Styela clava: one gene and its partner. The protein of the gene in region 2 binds, or shares a complex with, the protein of the main gene of each other region. Links are inferred from orthologs where the notes say so. Each region holds a gene or a part of one and is shown on either strand. Other genes may lie near its edges.

Region 1 (7,742 bases), about 450 kb from region 2:
AATAACATATATATGTTCGGATTTGGTGTGGCTCAAATATTTATCAGATTTTTGTAATTGCAATATGTGTACTGTAGGAAGAAAATGCCTTTTAAATCTTCGTATCCGTTTTGTAATGATCAATCAGAGTTGTTATTTGTAATTGTAGTGGCAGCATTCTGCCATGTCGCGGGATCGCAAAGGGCTGTTACGCCCTTGGGTATGGAACAATGCAAACAAAAGAGAAACGATAAATGATCTGTAACTATCAAAGCTGTACGCATAACCAGCGGCTATACGGAGTTGTTGCATATAAATTAAAATATTTTTGTTTGTGGGACACAATCAGGGACACAACGTGGTACACGATTTGATAAATACTTCTCATTGATTACAGAGGCAATACGGAGGTTTGGGAGTAAATTACCATACTGGGAGAAATATGAAATTCTCAACTATCCAAAAGTATATTACCTCGGATTGAATGCCAACAAATCTCAATTGAAAGAAGACGGCAAAAACAATTTTGGATTTGATTTTGATACATCGGTTGAAAAAGAATCTGAGGGAAATTATGACGTCGGAGGTCACTATAAAATGGTAATACATAACTATATTAGTTTTGGGTCTATGGAGTCGTAAAATATTTCGAATCAATTACGGGTCATTTATAAAATCAACTCCGAAACATAGGTTCATTCGTTGACTTTGGGTGTGCTGATTATCAAGTCGAAATAAACCTAATCACTACTTATGGTTTCATCACTTTGATGAAAATGTTACCAATTACAATTCAACCAAACTTTTAAAAGATTTTCTTGGACTAACCAAAAAATACTAGACGATACTGATAAAACGGAAACACTTCCCCAACCTCCAAGAATATAACGTATAGAAGTGTTAGGACAAAACTGAAAGAACATGCTATATTGTCTTGCCATATTTGAGATGAACTTATCTGAAGATTTCAAAACTCGGTCAGACAACATTTTATTAGCGTGCAGCAAAACTCCTGTTTCACGTAGAATAGTCATAATCCCTACAGCGTCTGTGTATTATACGCATGCGAATCCACCAGAGCAAAGGTATGCGGCAAGAATGGATCTCGTGTAACCCAAACGGATAGTTGACAGAATACTAGTTTGATTATTATTACATGATGAAGAGAAAACTCCACTTTATATTTTTGCATGTTCTAATCAATTCAATTTTTTTTGTTCTATTATTTTAAGGTTCCTGGTGATCATATCGGTTACAGATATGAAATTATCAAATACATTGATACTGGCTATTATTGCGATGTTGTTGTAGCAAGAGACTGGTCAAATCCAATTTTAAAAAATGTTGCCATCAAAATCATGCGTGTTAGAGGTCACGGGTGAGTAAGTTATAATTAAATGCGGTTTTATCGATAAATCGATAACAAATTCACAAAATACCATTCCACTTTATTTTAAACTAATATGCACTCATTATATTTTGCATGTGACACGCCGGCACAGAAGGGCGTATCGTGATACGTTTCTTGATTATTTATTTAAATGTAAAGCCGACTTTCGTGCATTCACGAACGAATTTTTCAGACGGATTCTCAATTTATCGCTAAGTGGTCACTTCCTCGACGCTGAATTACTCCCCTTTTAAAATTTATTTTGTATTTTCCAGCACGTCAAGATTTTACTGGAGAGAAGTAGGTATTCTGCAGTACCTCAATTCCAACGCTCCCAATTTGGATTATTTTACACGCATGTTAGCAACCTTCGAATTTCGCAACCATCTCTGCGTAGTTTTTGAATTGTTAGGGTCAGTATTTGTCTCAGAAATAAAATATAGTGTATTTTATTGAAAGAGGTAGCTTATATTATTACATTTAATTGTTCGTTTCTATAATTACATAAGGGAGATCGTGCGCTCTCGGGAGTTGATGTTGTAAAAAAAATCTAATTTGCAACTATTGCATCAGTCAATGTTAAATTTTACTACTTGAATCCGCTAAAAGGATATATAATATATTAATCCTCTTTTTTTTCAAGTGCGATATTTCACTCAAAATTTTGCTATTATATTTAAAATTTATATTCATTGAAACACTTTTTATGATATAGCAGCACATTTTTCCGAAGCAATTGCTGGCTTATGTCAGGTCGCCGTCACATTTCTCCACCGATCTTTTCAGCAAAAAAACTAAGTTAAAAAGCTGAGGCGGTACGTGTTCATCCAAATATATGAGCATTGCTCTATTATTCTGATTTACTAAAATGCTTAATGAATAGATAACATGTTATGTGTTTTCTATACATAGCATGCTATCTATATTTAGATGCAGCATTATTCTACTTTTACATGTATTGTTCACTTACCAAACTTTACTGTACTTCACAGGGGAACTATTGATTTAAAATATTTAAAACACTCTGTGCGAAACACAACTTCAATACGAAGATATGCAAGTGATGCTTTGCATGGTTTGCGTATTCTCAAAAAAATCGGTGTGGTGCACGGAGATTTTAAACTGGTAAATGCATTATATTGTCACATGTTGCCATGTTGCAAAATTATTGTTAATTATTTACAATTTTACCATAGTGTGTAATCTTACCTGATAGTGAGAATTAGCAATTTTAATCAACGAGAAACCGCACTTTGGGAGTACACTAGAACTTTGCTAATCCAAGTCGCTGACAAACTAAAATTCAGTGGCACATAATGCATCAGTTTTGTGCCAGGCTCTTTTTTATTGTATTTGAGTTGAATAGTTTCTCATCAGTTTGCTTATAGGTGTGTGTTCAGCAACAACTCTTGAAACTAAAAACTAAAGAGAACTTTATACAAATCCATACTGTTGTTTGTATATAGCTTGTGTAGTAACGATTCTCTGATCTTCAATAACTATAGTGGGTGAATATGTACAATAAAATGTTCTCTATCCTTCAGCTTTCAAGAATATTTACTAATCCATTCCACTTCGCATTGTTATCAAATAATATTATCTGCTTATATGCGCTGAAAGATAATAAAACGGGTCGTTAAGGTTTGAGACACGAAACTGCGAGGAGTTTGTAGGCCAGCTCCTTTTATTAATCGCATGAGAAATTATCCGCTGTGCTAAGCCATAGCAATAAAGCATTAAATGTTTGTATATGTTTTCAGCACAACCTGATGTATATTCATGGAAAAAATATTGAAAGTAATGGACAACTGATAAAAATAGGTGATTTTGGAGGAAGCTGCATTATTGGTCAGCCAAGTATGTCTTTCTGAAAATATGATATTAAAATTATATTATTATATTTTTTGTTGCACAAAGTTCATAAATTTATCAACTTTTTAAACAATTGGTGAAATAAACTAAAACAATGATATGAAATGCCTTTGAAACTGGACTTATCTTTTCACAGAATGTGGATATATGTATTACTTTATTACTCGACCTTATCGTGCTCCTGAAATAATTTTCCACCTGCCACACACAACCCAGATTGACATGTTCAGTTTTGGGGTTTGGCTGGCAGAACTGTTTTTGGGTCAGCCTCCATTTTTTGGCGAAGATAATGAGGAAGATCATTTAGGAGCAATGATGGAAGTACTTGGGCTTCCTCCAAGTCATATGATTGCAAGGTCACCTAGAAAGCACATCTATTGGGGTAACTACGTTGATAAACTTTGTCTAGGCATTGGCTGAAGTGATGTTATCTACTAAAAAATACTGTAGTTATTGTAAACAACATTTTTTGTTTTGTTTTATACTTCTATTTGACACCACGTTTACTTATGGATCGTTTGGTTATTATAATGTCGCTGTTGCCGTTAGTATTTCTTTTTTGTTGTTGTTATGAAAAATCTTTCTTCTTTCTGATTACTCGACCAATTGCTTTAAAATGTTCAGTGGTTGTACTGTTGCTAGAAGGCTATTACTTTTATTTATTTTAAAAATTTGTGTAGGCTCTATGGAAGCTTTATGAGATTAGTTTTTTGTTTACGAGGACACCATCAAAATTACTACTTCGTTTTGGCTTTCGTGTCCATATATCTGAGCATTGCTCTCTTGTTTATACGAAGTATATATATATGATAAAAATAAAACAGTTTCAACGATTCGATACAGGGATAAACGCTGAATGCCATTACTTTGCCCACATTCTTATTCCTTGTTGCATCAGGGATTTTGCAACCTACATTGCTAACTAATTAATTCTTTTAATTTTTCATCTTTGTTTTTTTCATATGTTTGTCTAGATGCCTTTCGTCACAAAATTCACGATAAAGGGACACATCGAAAGCCTTACAGTAGACCGTTGTTGAAAGTTTTGGAAGGAATGGACTTAGTGCTAATTGACCTGATTTGCAGATGCCTCGAGTAAGTTTTGTTGAAAATCACTTAAAACGTTGTGTGTGTTTGTCTAGTCATCTCATACATCAGACTACACCTTTCTTGGGTGTTTTTCCGTGCGTACTTATCCATGAAACCGCCACTATGTTATGGCGACATCCTAAAATCAAGTTTAGGATCTAAGCACTTGGTGATTTATAAACTTCACGTACAGATGGGACCCTAACCTACGCATCACACCTGAAGAAGCACTTCGTCATCCTTTTATGACTGGAGCAGAGAAGAATTTAGAAGAATATCCAATAGTCATTCAACGATTTCTAGGGAAAATTTAGTGTGGAAACTTGGCAAACGAAATTCACAACAGACGGAGGTAAATCGCCGCCCAGTGCGCTGGGATTCCAAATTGTCAACAATCGTCATTGGCTACGAAGATTGTTTTCGAATAAAGTGAATGTTCAAATAACAAGAGAGACGCAAAGCACACCCTAAAATTAAGGAAAAGTGAAGAATATTAAAGAACGTTAAAACAAAATTTTAATTGGATTGAATATACGCGTACGTGTATGTCCGTGGTTCTCAAACGCCTGAATGAGTCGTTTAATTTTCCAAGAGCGTCGTAAAACAATTTCATTAGCAGAAAATACTCAACTCAACTTAGTAAATACAATAGTAGAAAATTGCACTGCAGTGAAGCTCTTGACAAAAACTGCTAATATGACGTCCTGTTAGCTGGGACCATGAGGTTTCATTACAGCTTAAACTCTTTGGACAATTTATAGATCGCTCGCGTACCCCCAAAAGTTTTGACCACTAACCTCAAATTGCTCTGATGCACAACTTATTTTCTACATCTAGGCAACCCATTATATTACCTTTTAATTTGTTGAATCTATGAAATTGATTATTTCAGTTCAATATGATGATAAATTTGCGCTAAAGTTATTCATAACAATGTAATCCCAAGCTTAACAAACACTACAATCAAAGTAACAATATGTCTGATAACCGGAGGAGTGGTCGTGGTTCTCCATATGATTGAGCTGTCTTATTGGCTTCCCTCTCACCTGGGATAAATATGTAAATCATATCCTAATATGATGGGCGAGCTCATTACTAAAATCACGTTCAGGTGCTTTGAACTGTGACATGCATTTTGAGCAGCACTAAAAATGCCGACTCACACAATCAAGTTGATGGAAACAACAACAATGCTTGAGTTTAGAATCAAAATAAAAAAATCATACTTTAAGGAATTGACAATTTTTTTTCATTTGTTGAGTTGCTGAAAAAATCCCTGAAATTCTTCACGAAACTCATATACACGTTTAGAAACATTTACCCCGGAAAACCATCGCACATTACTGTGAAATAGTAGTAGGCCTACACTGTGATCGTCGCTCAAACTGCCACGGAGAACGTTGTTCAAATATACCCATTGAAACGTCGAAAAGTACCTCTCGGGGTAGGCTACCATACGTGTACCCCAGTTTGGTGACCCCTGGTTCAGAGCTTATCTTTTACCAATTTCTGATTAATAATATTTATTAACATAATAATTTGAAGAATAAAGTTTTTAGAAAGGAACGCATCGTTTATTGCCTGTATTGCATGATGTTTTACTTTTATACACGTATGGAAATAAGTATAAGTTTATTTCGACTCCATAATCAGCATAAAAGACGATAAAATAATTGATAAAAACAAAATAAATAAAACTGATTATATAATATATGGAACACAGCAAATTACACTTTCCGTTGATTTTTGTTGGTAACGAGGGAGGGAGAGAGAGAGGGAGAGAGTTTATTTGTTTTGTTCATTAGAAAACATATACACAACATAAACATAATTAATAAAAAGCAAAACAGTTCTCGGTACAGACTTGGTGGCAACGATACGGGTATCGGAGTCAGTTACCACCCAATATTAATATAAATAGACATGAATAAAAAATGCTTCAGATATGATTTAACATATTTCAGGTGTGTTCAGAAACAACGTAAAGAAAAAAAAAGGTTTACATATACACAACAGGCAATTACATATAAGCGTTTAAAGCTAAATAAAATTTCGGACAAGTTACACACTTGATCAAGTGTGGTATTGGTCAAAATTGACATCAATATGTATTTTTGAGTAAATGGAGCATCAATTGTTTGGAATCGGGTATTTCAAGTTGAAGAATACATAATAACATTTTGTGTAAATGGTGAAAGACTTAAGGCAGCATATATATAAAGACATTAAACTAGATCACTACAAAGTAGCAAAATAAATTTGAGCAACTGTGTATAAGCGTAGTAGCCTAGTATTTATTTACGGTATAAGATACAAAAAAAATGCAAAATCTCAAAATTGAGCTTAAGCTGGGGCATGCAAAATAATACAGTTATAATATATATTAGTTATATATGATAATATACAAGATAGGTTAAATTGTAAATTTCTCTAATTCAAACCCGTGGGTTTTAGCAATTTATGCACCACTTCTGATTCTAGACTAATCAGTCGTAGACTACACTTGTCACCATAGTAACATCAACGTCACTTCACTTTAAACGCAATTCGGATTGGAAATTATCTACTTTGGATATTGTTATAATAAAGATAATTATGTCTTTTAGTGCAGTATGGCCAAAGTGATCGCAATAAATAGTTGTCAACCCCATCTTTCAGTGTATACCGTATCCGGATATTTTCAAATATGAAGGTTATGCCCTGTGGGTCTGCTGGTCTGGGCCTGGCAAACCGCGCGGCGCGGCGGTGTGGCTCAACGGGCTAAGCGTTAGGAATACGCTCGCCACCGCACCTCTAATTACTCTGCGTGGGTTCGCAGGTTCGAATCCCATGCAGGGATGGTTATGTACGAGAGGATTGCTGGACTCCTCGCCGTCGTTGGGTGGTTCACGTAACCGCTGGTCGGTTACGGCTTCCTCCACCACCAAGTCCATGCTTCCGAAAACAAACAATACAGTAAAACTAATCCCATACCCGACTTTGAATGGTAACCGGACGAGAGGCCGTGGTTCGCCATATGGATAAGCCGTCTTATCGGCTTTCCTCTCCCCCGGGATAAATATGTAAATCCTATCCTATCCTAACCAATGCAGTGACGGCACAACAGAGCTAGGTCAAATTTAAGATTCTGAGTTTAATAGTCTTGTTACTGGGCTGACACAAATATAGTTGGAGTCTGGTATAGTTTAGTACCACATGCACTTCTAGTTGGCCTGGCTCAACAATTTTTGCATATGTCAATCCTAACCCTCACCTGACTACGTCACCCAAAAATTACGTCATTTCGACGCGCAGACGAGCACCCGAAATCGAGCAAGCTATCTCTCTCGTTTTCTCGTCACAACGATCACGATAGGAGAGAGATCGCCGGCTTTAGCGAGTTCATTATCAGCGGCGCAGATGTCATTTCGGG
Region 2 (7,606 bases):
TTAAACAAATGTGTGATTTCATTTCCAGTATACATTATGGTACATCACTACAAGCCAGATCATAGAATTCTCAAGTATTGTACAAATATTGTTGAGATAACTTCAAAAATGATTCAGATCTGAATTTAGTAGAACCGCATTTTTTTCATTGCATAGGAGGGTTCATAACTGACAGATTACTATGATGTAACTTTAGTTGATATTATAAATTTAAGACTTGGAACAAGCTTTGTCGTGCATTTTTCCAATTTAAACTTTCATGCCAGATCAGCAGATAGAGAAATGCAACAGAAAACTTACCATTTCACTTCTTTCTTTTCCATTCTTTTTACTGAAAATAAATATATCAAAATTGCAGTCAAAACAGTAAATGTATTGGTCAAATTAAATATTTTCTTTTGTACTGATGTCATGGGAGATGAGAAGATCAGATTCCAAAAACACTATTTTCAATAAAAAATTGCACCAAGTAACTCTACAGTTGCTTCACGAAAATTATGAAAATTTGTTTATCAATGAGGCATGTCAGTACAGCAGTATGTTCAATATAATAAACAGAATAAATGAATGAAATATAATTTATTAGTCAATGCCGTCGAAAAATAACTAGACTATAACATCACAAGTTTGCCAGAGGCATAGATGTACCCTAACTGCCTAAAGATATAACAAATGAATGGATTAGTAGCTGAGAAATAATGATGCTGACAAAGAAGGCAGCCATTAACTCTATAGAATGAAAATGTAGTTACCTTCCTGTATCTTTTAAAAGTTGTTCAAAAATTTGTCTGGTCTGATCAGTGGTCATTCTGTTATTATAAAAGCCTACAAATTTTCTTCCCAAATATCTTTCAAATTATGTCCAAAAGCAAGAAATTCAGCCTACCAACGTTGACTTGCAGACTTAGTTCTGTAGTGTTCAAAAAAGCTTTAACAGTTTAGAGGGCTGTAAAAATATTTTTTGCAGTTTTAATTTCTGTATTTGCAATTGAAGATAAGAAATAATACAGTAATATTTAATACCCTGAATCAGTTGAGTCTATCCAGTTACTAATGATCATTCCCAAGCAGGACAGACACGGAATTCAGGAATCTGATCCATGGTCGCCAATCGCTGAATGGCCATACCATGCATACTGGCCAAAATTTGAAAATAGTATGAGTTGTGAATTCCTAACGTAGCCCTGCAAATCACAAGCTTGCGCTGTTGGCCTGCCCGGTATTATGAACAAAACTCACAAAGGTATACTGATTTTACCTTGATTTATGAATGCCTGGTATTATGAACAAAACTCACAAAGGTATACTTTTTTTTTTTTTTTTTTTTTTTTTTTTTTTATGATTCCACAATGTGGTTTATGCAATATATAAAAATCATAAAATAATATATGAACAACAACAACAACAACAAGTATACAAAAATAACAAAGCATTTCATTACAGTCCATTGATTGTATTGTCCATAGTATCCCATTGCCATTGATATGTCCATCATGTAATTTCCATAATCCATAATGTTTGATCATTATTTATATTTTTTAGTATTAATTATTAAAAAAAAATTTTAATATCTATTAGTTTTGATACTATATATCACATCGTTAAAAATTCACAAGTTATTATAAATGATATCTAGTTCTCTTGTAAAATTAGGATATTGTCTCAACTTTTCTATATTTCTTCTTGCTATAAGTGACTTCTTAATTCTCATGATTACATTGCTAACATTTGGATTAACTTTTTGAAAAATTACTGTATTCCTTTCAAGCCAAATTTTGTGTCTGGCAGTGCAAAATAATAATATTATAGCATTCCGTTCTATTTTGGACAAATGTGAATAACATAGGTGAGTTAAATCTAGTAAAATACAAGTCATGTAATTATTATTCAGTACACAATGATTGATTTTTAATGCAACAGAAAAAATATAATCAAAAACATTTTGCGTAAAAGGACATTTCCAAAATAAATGAGAAACAAACTCAGGTTCTTGTGTGCAAAACACACATAAATCATTCCCAGAAATATGTTTAATTCTGGGCTTTACTTTAACAGAAAGAATATCCCACATTAATTTAAAATTGAAAGTTTTTATGTTATTGGACAATATCTTACAATGTATTTCAGAGCAGGCTCCTTCAATTGTACCATTACGAAGAAATACAATTCTGTTTCCGCCCTTCAATTTATTCACAATTTTATTATATAGTACCCTATGTTTTCCTTGTTTTAAATCATCCCCGGTTATGTTATATTGTCTAAGAAAATTAAGCAACTCTCCATAATATTTATAAGGAAAAAAAGCATGTGTCACATTATTATTAATCGGTATATTAAGTAATAAACAAAGTTGTTGTCCAATATTATATTCAATAATATTGAATGCTGATTGTCTACAATACTCAATTTTGTTACTAATCCTATCACAATAATAGTCGAATGCAGTCATTACATATAAACACATAGTAAAGGAATATTTATCATGTCATAGCCTCCAACAGCCTTGTTTTTGCACAGTGTCTCAATTTTCAATATGTTTCTGCCATTAAATATAAACTTTTCTTGTTAAATATAAACATTCACTTGTTTTGCAATTTTTAATGGGATGGGATATAATCTTGCACAGTATAAAAACAAAGGTAGAATTTTCAATTTTATTATCAGACATTTACCATCTAATGATAATGGAATATTTGAAAGTTCATCTATGACAGTTTTTGCATTATCTAAACAGTATTGCCAGTTTTCATCGCAGGTATCATGATTTGAAACCACCACTCCAAGTATGTTTAAAGTCAAGACAACAGGTACTTGTGAAAAAAAATTAGGATTGCTCCATATTCCTAATTTTAAAAGTTTAGTCTTCTCTATGTTCAACTTCATTCCAGTTGCTAATTTGAATCTTGTCATCAAATCCATTGCAGAATATACAGAGCTTTTGTTACATAGAGTCAATGTGACATCGTCTGCATAACTAATGTGTTTAATTTCTCTGTTGTGTGGTATTTTTAAGCCAATAATTTCTTTATGGGAATTAATTTTAATTAGGAGAGGTTCAATTGCTATGATAAATAAAAATAAACTTAACGGATCTCCTTGACGAATTCCTCTATCGATTCGATTCTCCATGTTTATTATGTTCTTGAGTACATAAATCCCTCAACAAAATGAGATTTTCAGATATTCTTCTTCCCGGAATTGCATACTGATGTCTATCTATGATGTCAGGTAATACACTTTTTAACCTATTTGCCAATATTTTTGTAAAGATCTTATAGTCTGTATTCAATAATGCTATTGGTCTGTAATTTTCTATTTGGTCTGGTTCTCCCTTTTTATAAATTAAAGTAGTATATCCCAATTTCATGTCTTTTGTTATTTGATAATTTTCAAATATTTCTTCCAATACTTCAAAGAATTCTGGTATACTGATTTTACCTTGATTTATGAATGCCTAAAAACTTCCTCCTGAGTCGACGGACAGAACGATGGCGTACTTGGAAACGAAAATTGTTCAAAAGTATTTATATACGACACTATGCTTCATTGATTTGTAAGGGATTGTTGGCGTTCGGATTCAAATCCGGTTCCTAAATCACCCCTGTAGTTTTCTGTCAATCCCTTCACTCGTGAGTAATGATTGTTCATATGTATGTTTGATTTGCACATGGTGATGAATGAATACTACTGCATCTAGTATTCATTCATCACCATGTGCAAATCAAACATACATATGAACAATCATTACTCACGAGTGAAGGGATTGACAGAAAACTACAGGGGTGATTTATGATAGGATTTAAATATTTATCCTGAGAGAGGAAAGTCGATAAGACGGCTTGACCATATGGCGAACCACGGCCACGTCCAGTTACCGTATTATTCCATGTCGGGTATGGGATTAGTTAGTTATTTTTTTTTCGGAAGCACGGACTTGGTGGTGGAGGAAGCCGTAACCGACCAGCGGTTACGTGAACCACCCTACGACGGCGAGGAGTCCAGCAATCCTCTCGCACATAACCATCCATGTGCGGTGGCGAGCGTATTCCTAATATTGAGGTTTATGAATCCTAACGCTTGGTACGATGAGCCACACCGCCATGACACCCTATGTGTAGAGCTGTGACACCCTATGACGCAGTGCTGTTTTCAAAGGTGGAATGTGAAAAAATGGTTAATATACATTAGTCACAAGGAAGGTAGATTAGGATTTGCAAATTTTTATCCCGGGAGAGAGGAAATTTTTTGAGGCTATTTTAAGAGTGCTTTTGCGAGTTGGCGCCTGTGAAATGGGGTATGTGTTTCAAACCATCATTATGATTCATCGCATACAACAATCTGTTTTTTAAAAGTACCGTTGAATAATTTTAGCCTAGTCTATCACAGCTATTTCTACACTAATTTTTATAACTGCAATTAAATTAAAACTCCTAGGAAGACAGGGTGACCATTGAATTATCTGATTTACATTTAAGTTTCCAAAACACAACTGAAAACTAACCAATAGAGTTCAAAAATGCGAAAACTAGGTAATGTTTACGACCACGATTGAAAATCTGTATGAGTGAGAAAAGTGTCTGAGCGGATGCGAAAAGGGAGCATTGTTACGTCACTTTTTGCAATTCGCTGATTGGCCAATGTCACGAAGTAAACGAGGAAGTCGATGCTGGGGGAAAGGTTCATGGACGTTTCCCTGACGCTTGAAAAATTCTCAACCAACCCTGCTTGAATATCAGTCTGAGCGAAAGAAGTGTCTATGAGCGACTGCACAAATTGGCATTGTTACGACGAAGTTGATTTATTGCTAAATGGTCATTGTTACGTATAGGATGTCATAATGATTATAGACACCATTCATTGACGTCGTCGTAGGAGTTGCCTACTTGCTAATTCACTTTTATAAAAGCCATGGCTATGTTTTCAGGTAGCGGTGCTCCTTCCGCGTTGCAAAAGTTTTTAAATGAGCTCAATGCAGATGTACAGGAAAAGCGACGAAAAATAAAAAAGGAAGAAGAAATAATAAAAAGTAAGTCTAACACTACCGGTATCTTCGAAATAGTCTAATCTAATTCCTTTGACTCAAAATTTGCGGGCTTCGAAAGTTTTCTTCCTTTCTATAATTTATATCTAAGTCGATTACGTCGGATGTGGCCGTCAATTTTATCCTGGGAAGGGCCAACAAGGCACGTTAGAATAGACGCAATGTCTTGTCGGGTTTTGGTATGAAATGCACATTTAGTTCAATAGTTTGCAGATCGGAGCTCAAATTAACAAGCTGCTAACATTGTCAAAATTGATACTTTTGGCTTGAACTTTTCCTACTTACCAACGTATGAGCCAAATCGGTTTCTCCGTTGACGAGACATTGATTGAATTTTTCCCACTTGTTTAGGTTTTCGGGAAGAATTGTGGAGTAAAAGAGAGAGGATTCATATATTTCAAGATAAAACAAGAGAGCTTGATGAGGCTGTGAAACAAATGCACGAAGTTTATGTGAATCAGAAACGAACTCTCGAAAGGTTGCGTACTGTTATAAATATTGGTATTACGCGTACAAAATGACCATAACAGTTGTTTACAGTATTGAAGAAATTCATTGCGTTTTACTTCCCTAAATTACGGAACTATTTGCTCCCGTTGATAAGAGAATGTTAACATGAGTCATAAGACTTAACTAAATCATACCCACCTGCAGAATAGAGAATTTGTCAAAAAGACTTTGTTACTGAGTACAGAACCAATGATATATTTTCTCAAATGATCAAAAAACGATTAATTACTATTAACCTGGATGGAGTGGATGGATGAGACCAATATTTGAGAAACTTTATAAACCAGAAAATATACAAAAAGTGTTTCTTTTTATATTTTGAAGGATAAAGGAAAATGATAGACTCTTGGATGAACATACAAATGCAAAAGCTGAAGAGCTGCAGAAAATAGTAGAGGAAAAGGCCAAAAGAAGGTTCGCTTTGTTACTTTAAGAATATGTGACCCGATATAAAGTTGAAGGAATAGAATTGTTTGGTTGGTGGATCAGAAACCAATATCTTCGCTAATGATATACTGTACACACATATATTTAGAAAATTATAGGGAAGTTTCTGTTAATATATATTTGTTTTTTGATCACATTTTATTATCATCACGCAGTTCAATTTTCCACCCTTCCTAATTCGTTTATGCCTTAAATATATAAATTGTAGTAGTCGTATTAAAAGGTGATAGGCAAAGGTTTCTGAGATGCATTTGTGAAATTTTCTAAAAAACGTCTCCTAATAAATTGCATCCATAAGTTGTAATACAACGTTAAGAAGCGGACTAACAGCCTATAAGGCGCGGACATCCCTGAAGGAATTTTCGATTTTATTGACAATGAAGCATAAATAAGTCATAGCCGTATAGATAACATCATGTTGAATACAATTTACTTTAACACATTTAGCAGTTACAATATTTTTCGAAATTGTGGATGTTGCGTTATCAAATTTCTATTTATGATAAAAGTCGCGTTGCCATATTTATGTACATCACTTTATTCGCTCCTCACTGAAAGTTGCGCTCATCCGGTCATCGGTCCGCATACGCATCGGTCTAATGAAATCATATTTGCAAGAGAGTTTGTAGGAAATGACCCGATCTGAGTTTCATCTCTGACTTCAATACAAACGATTTTTAAATAAATGAATACCAATTGTGAAATTTCTTTCACAATATTAATTGAAATTTCTTTCACAATATCCGTGGTTTTGGTTACTTCAGAGGTATACTTTGAGCCCGGAATGGAGAGCAGAACACTTGTTAAGATCAAACCTTTAGTTAAGACAATAAAATTGAATAATACTAATTTACGTAATTATGTATTGGATATTTTTAAGATTGGAACTTGAACAAAAGATAAATGGACAGGAGGAAAAGCTTGAAAATTATAAAAGAATTTACAAGTCGTTTCCGGGTGCATCGGAGCTAATGCAATTGCAAGACGAAACGCGGAGAATGGAAATAAAAAAGGCTGATGTTTTGAAAGAAATTGATATTATTGACGGTGAAATTGTTTCATTGGAGCAGCTGAGAGCAGGAAAGAGAATTATAATATTATTTCATTCATTCAAATTTGAATAAGTAATTATTTGAATAATATTTTACGATGGGATGTTTTGAAATAACTTATTAACCCGATCTTTGTTTCCCGGTAATTCAGCATTTGTTATAGGTTACTGAATAAACGTTATCTAGAAAAGATTTCGGTAATCACAAATTTTTCATATAATATGTCAATTTCATATGAAAATCTATCTTGTTTGCGCCATTGCGGGATCAGAAAATACACGATCTCCGAACTATATATTTTATAAAACACTCCCCAAATGACCATCCATATACTGTTTTTTTACATCATCCTCGAATTTCCAAATACCAGAGTCGACAAAGCTTGTGGCGTGGCCAGCAATATAGAACGTTTTTATGATTGTGACAAGCTACTGTATTGCTGATAACACGACGACTTTAACATGTTATTATATCTCGCGAATATATGTTACAGTAAATATAATCGCTACCATTTTTTTTCAAAATAGAACAACAAAAATGCGAAAATGCTCAAAAG

The links. The genes of interacting proteins can lie anywhere in the genome.
Region 1: uncharacterized protein LOC120345914 (region 2) and transmembrane protein 17-like share a complex: the UniProt entries of both Homo sapiens proteins name them as parts of the tectonic-like complex. The link is inferred for Styela clava from reciprocal best matches to the Homo sapiens genes AHI1 and TMEM17.

Annotation. Positions count from the first base shown.
Region 1 is NC_135257.1:13,532,821-13,540,562, forward strand, and holds the start of transmembrane protein 17-like, read left to right. Parts: upstream 1-4,644; 5' UTR 4,645-4,682; exon of another isoform or gene 4,683-6,045; intron 6,046-7,742. Other genes in the region: dual specificity tyrosine-phosphorylation-regulated kinase 3-like, read left to right, coding at 377-579, 1,212-1,357, 1,645-1,782, 2,362-2,494, 3,130-3,226, 3,378-3,623, 4,216-4,336, 4,524-4,644. UniProt on the Homo sapiens protein: Transmembrane component of the tectonic-like complex, a complex localized at the transition zone of primary cilia and acting as a barrier that prevents diffusion of transmembrane proteins between the cilia and plasma membranes.
Region 2 is NC_135257.1:13,082,768-13,090,373, forward strand, and holds the start of uncharacterized protein LOC120345914, read right to left. Parts: upstream 3,553-7,606; 5' UTR 3,439-3,552; intron 1,246-3,438; exon of another isoform or gene 1,185-1,245; 5' UTR 1,024-1,184; intron 947-1,023; 5' UTR 809-946; coding exon 753-808; intron 332-752; coding exon 301-331; intron 1-300. Other genes in the region: uncharacterized protein LOC120345286, read left to right, coding at 4,909-5,026, 5,393-5,519, 5,876-5,965, 6,879-7,076, 7,576-7,606. UniProt on the Homo sapiens protein: Involved in vesicle trafficking and required for ciliogenesis, formation of primary non-motile cilium, and recruitment of RAB8A to the basal body of primary cilium.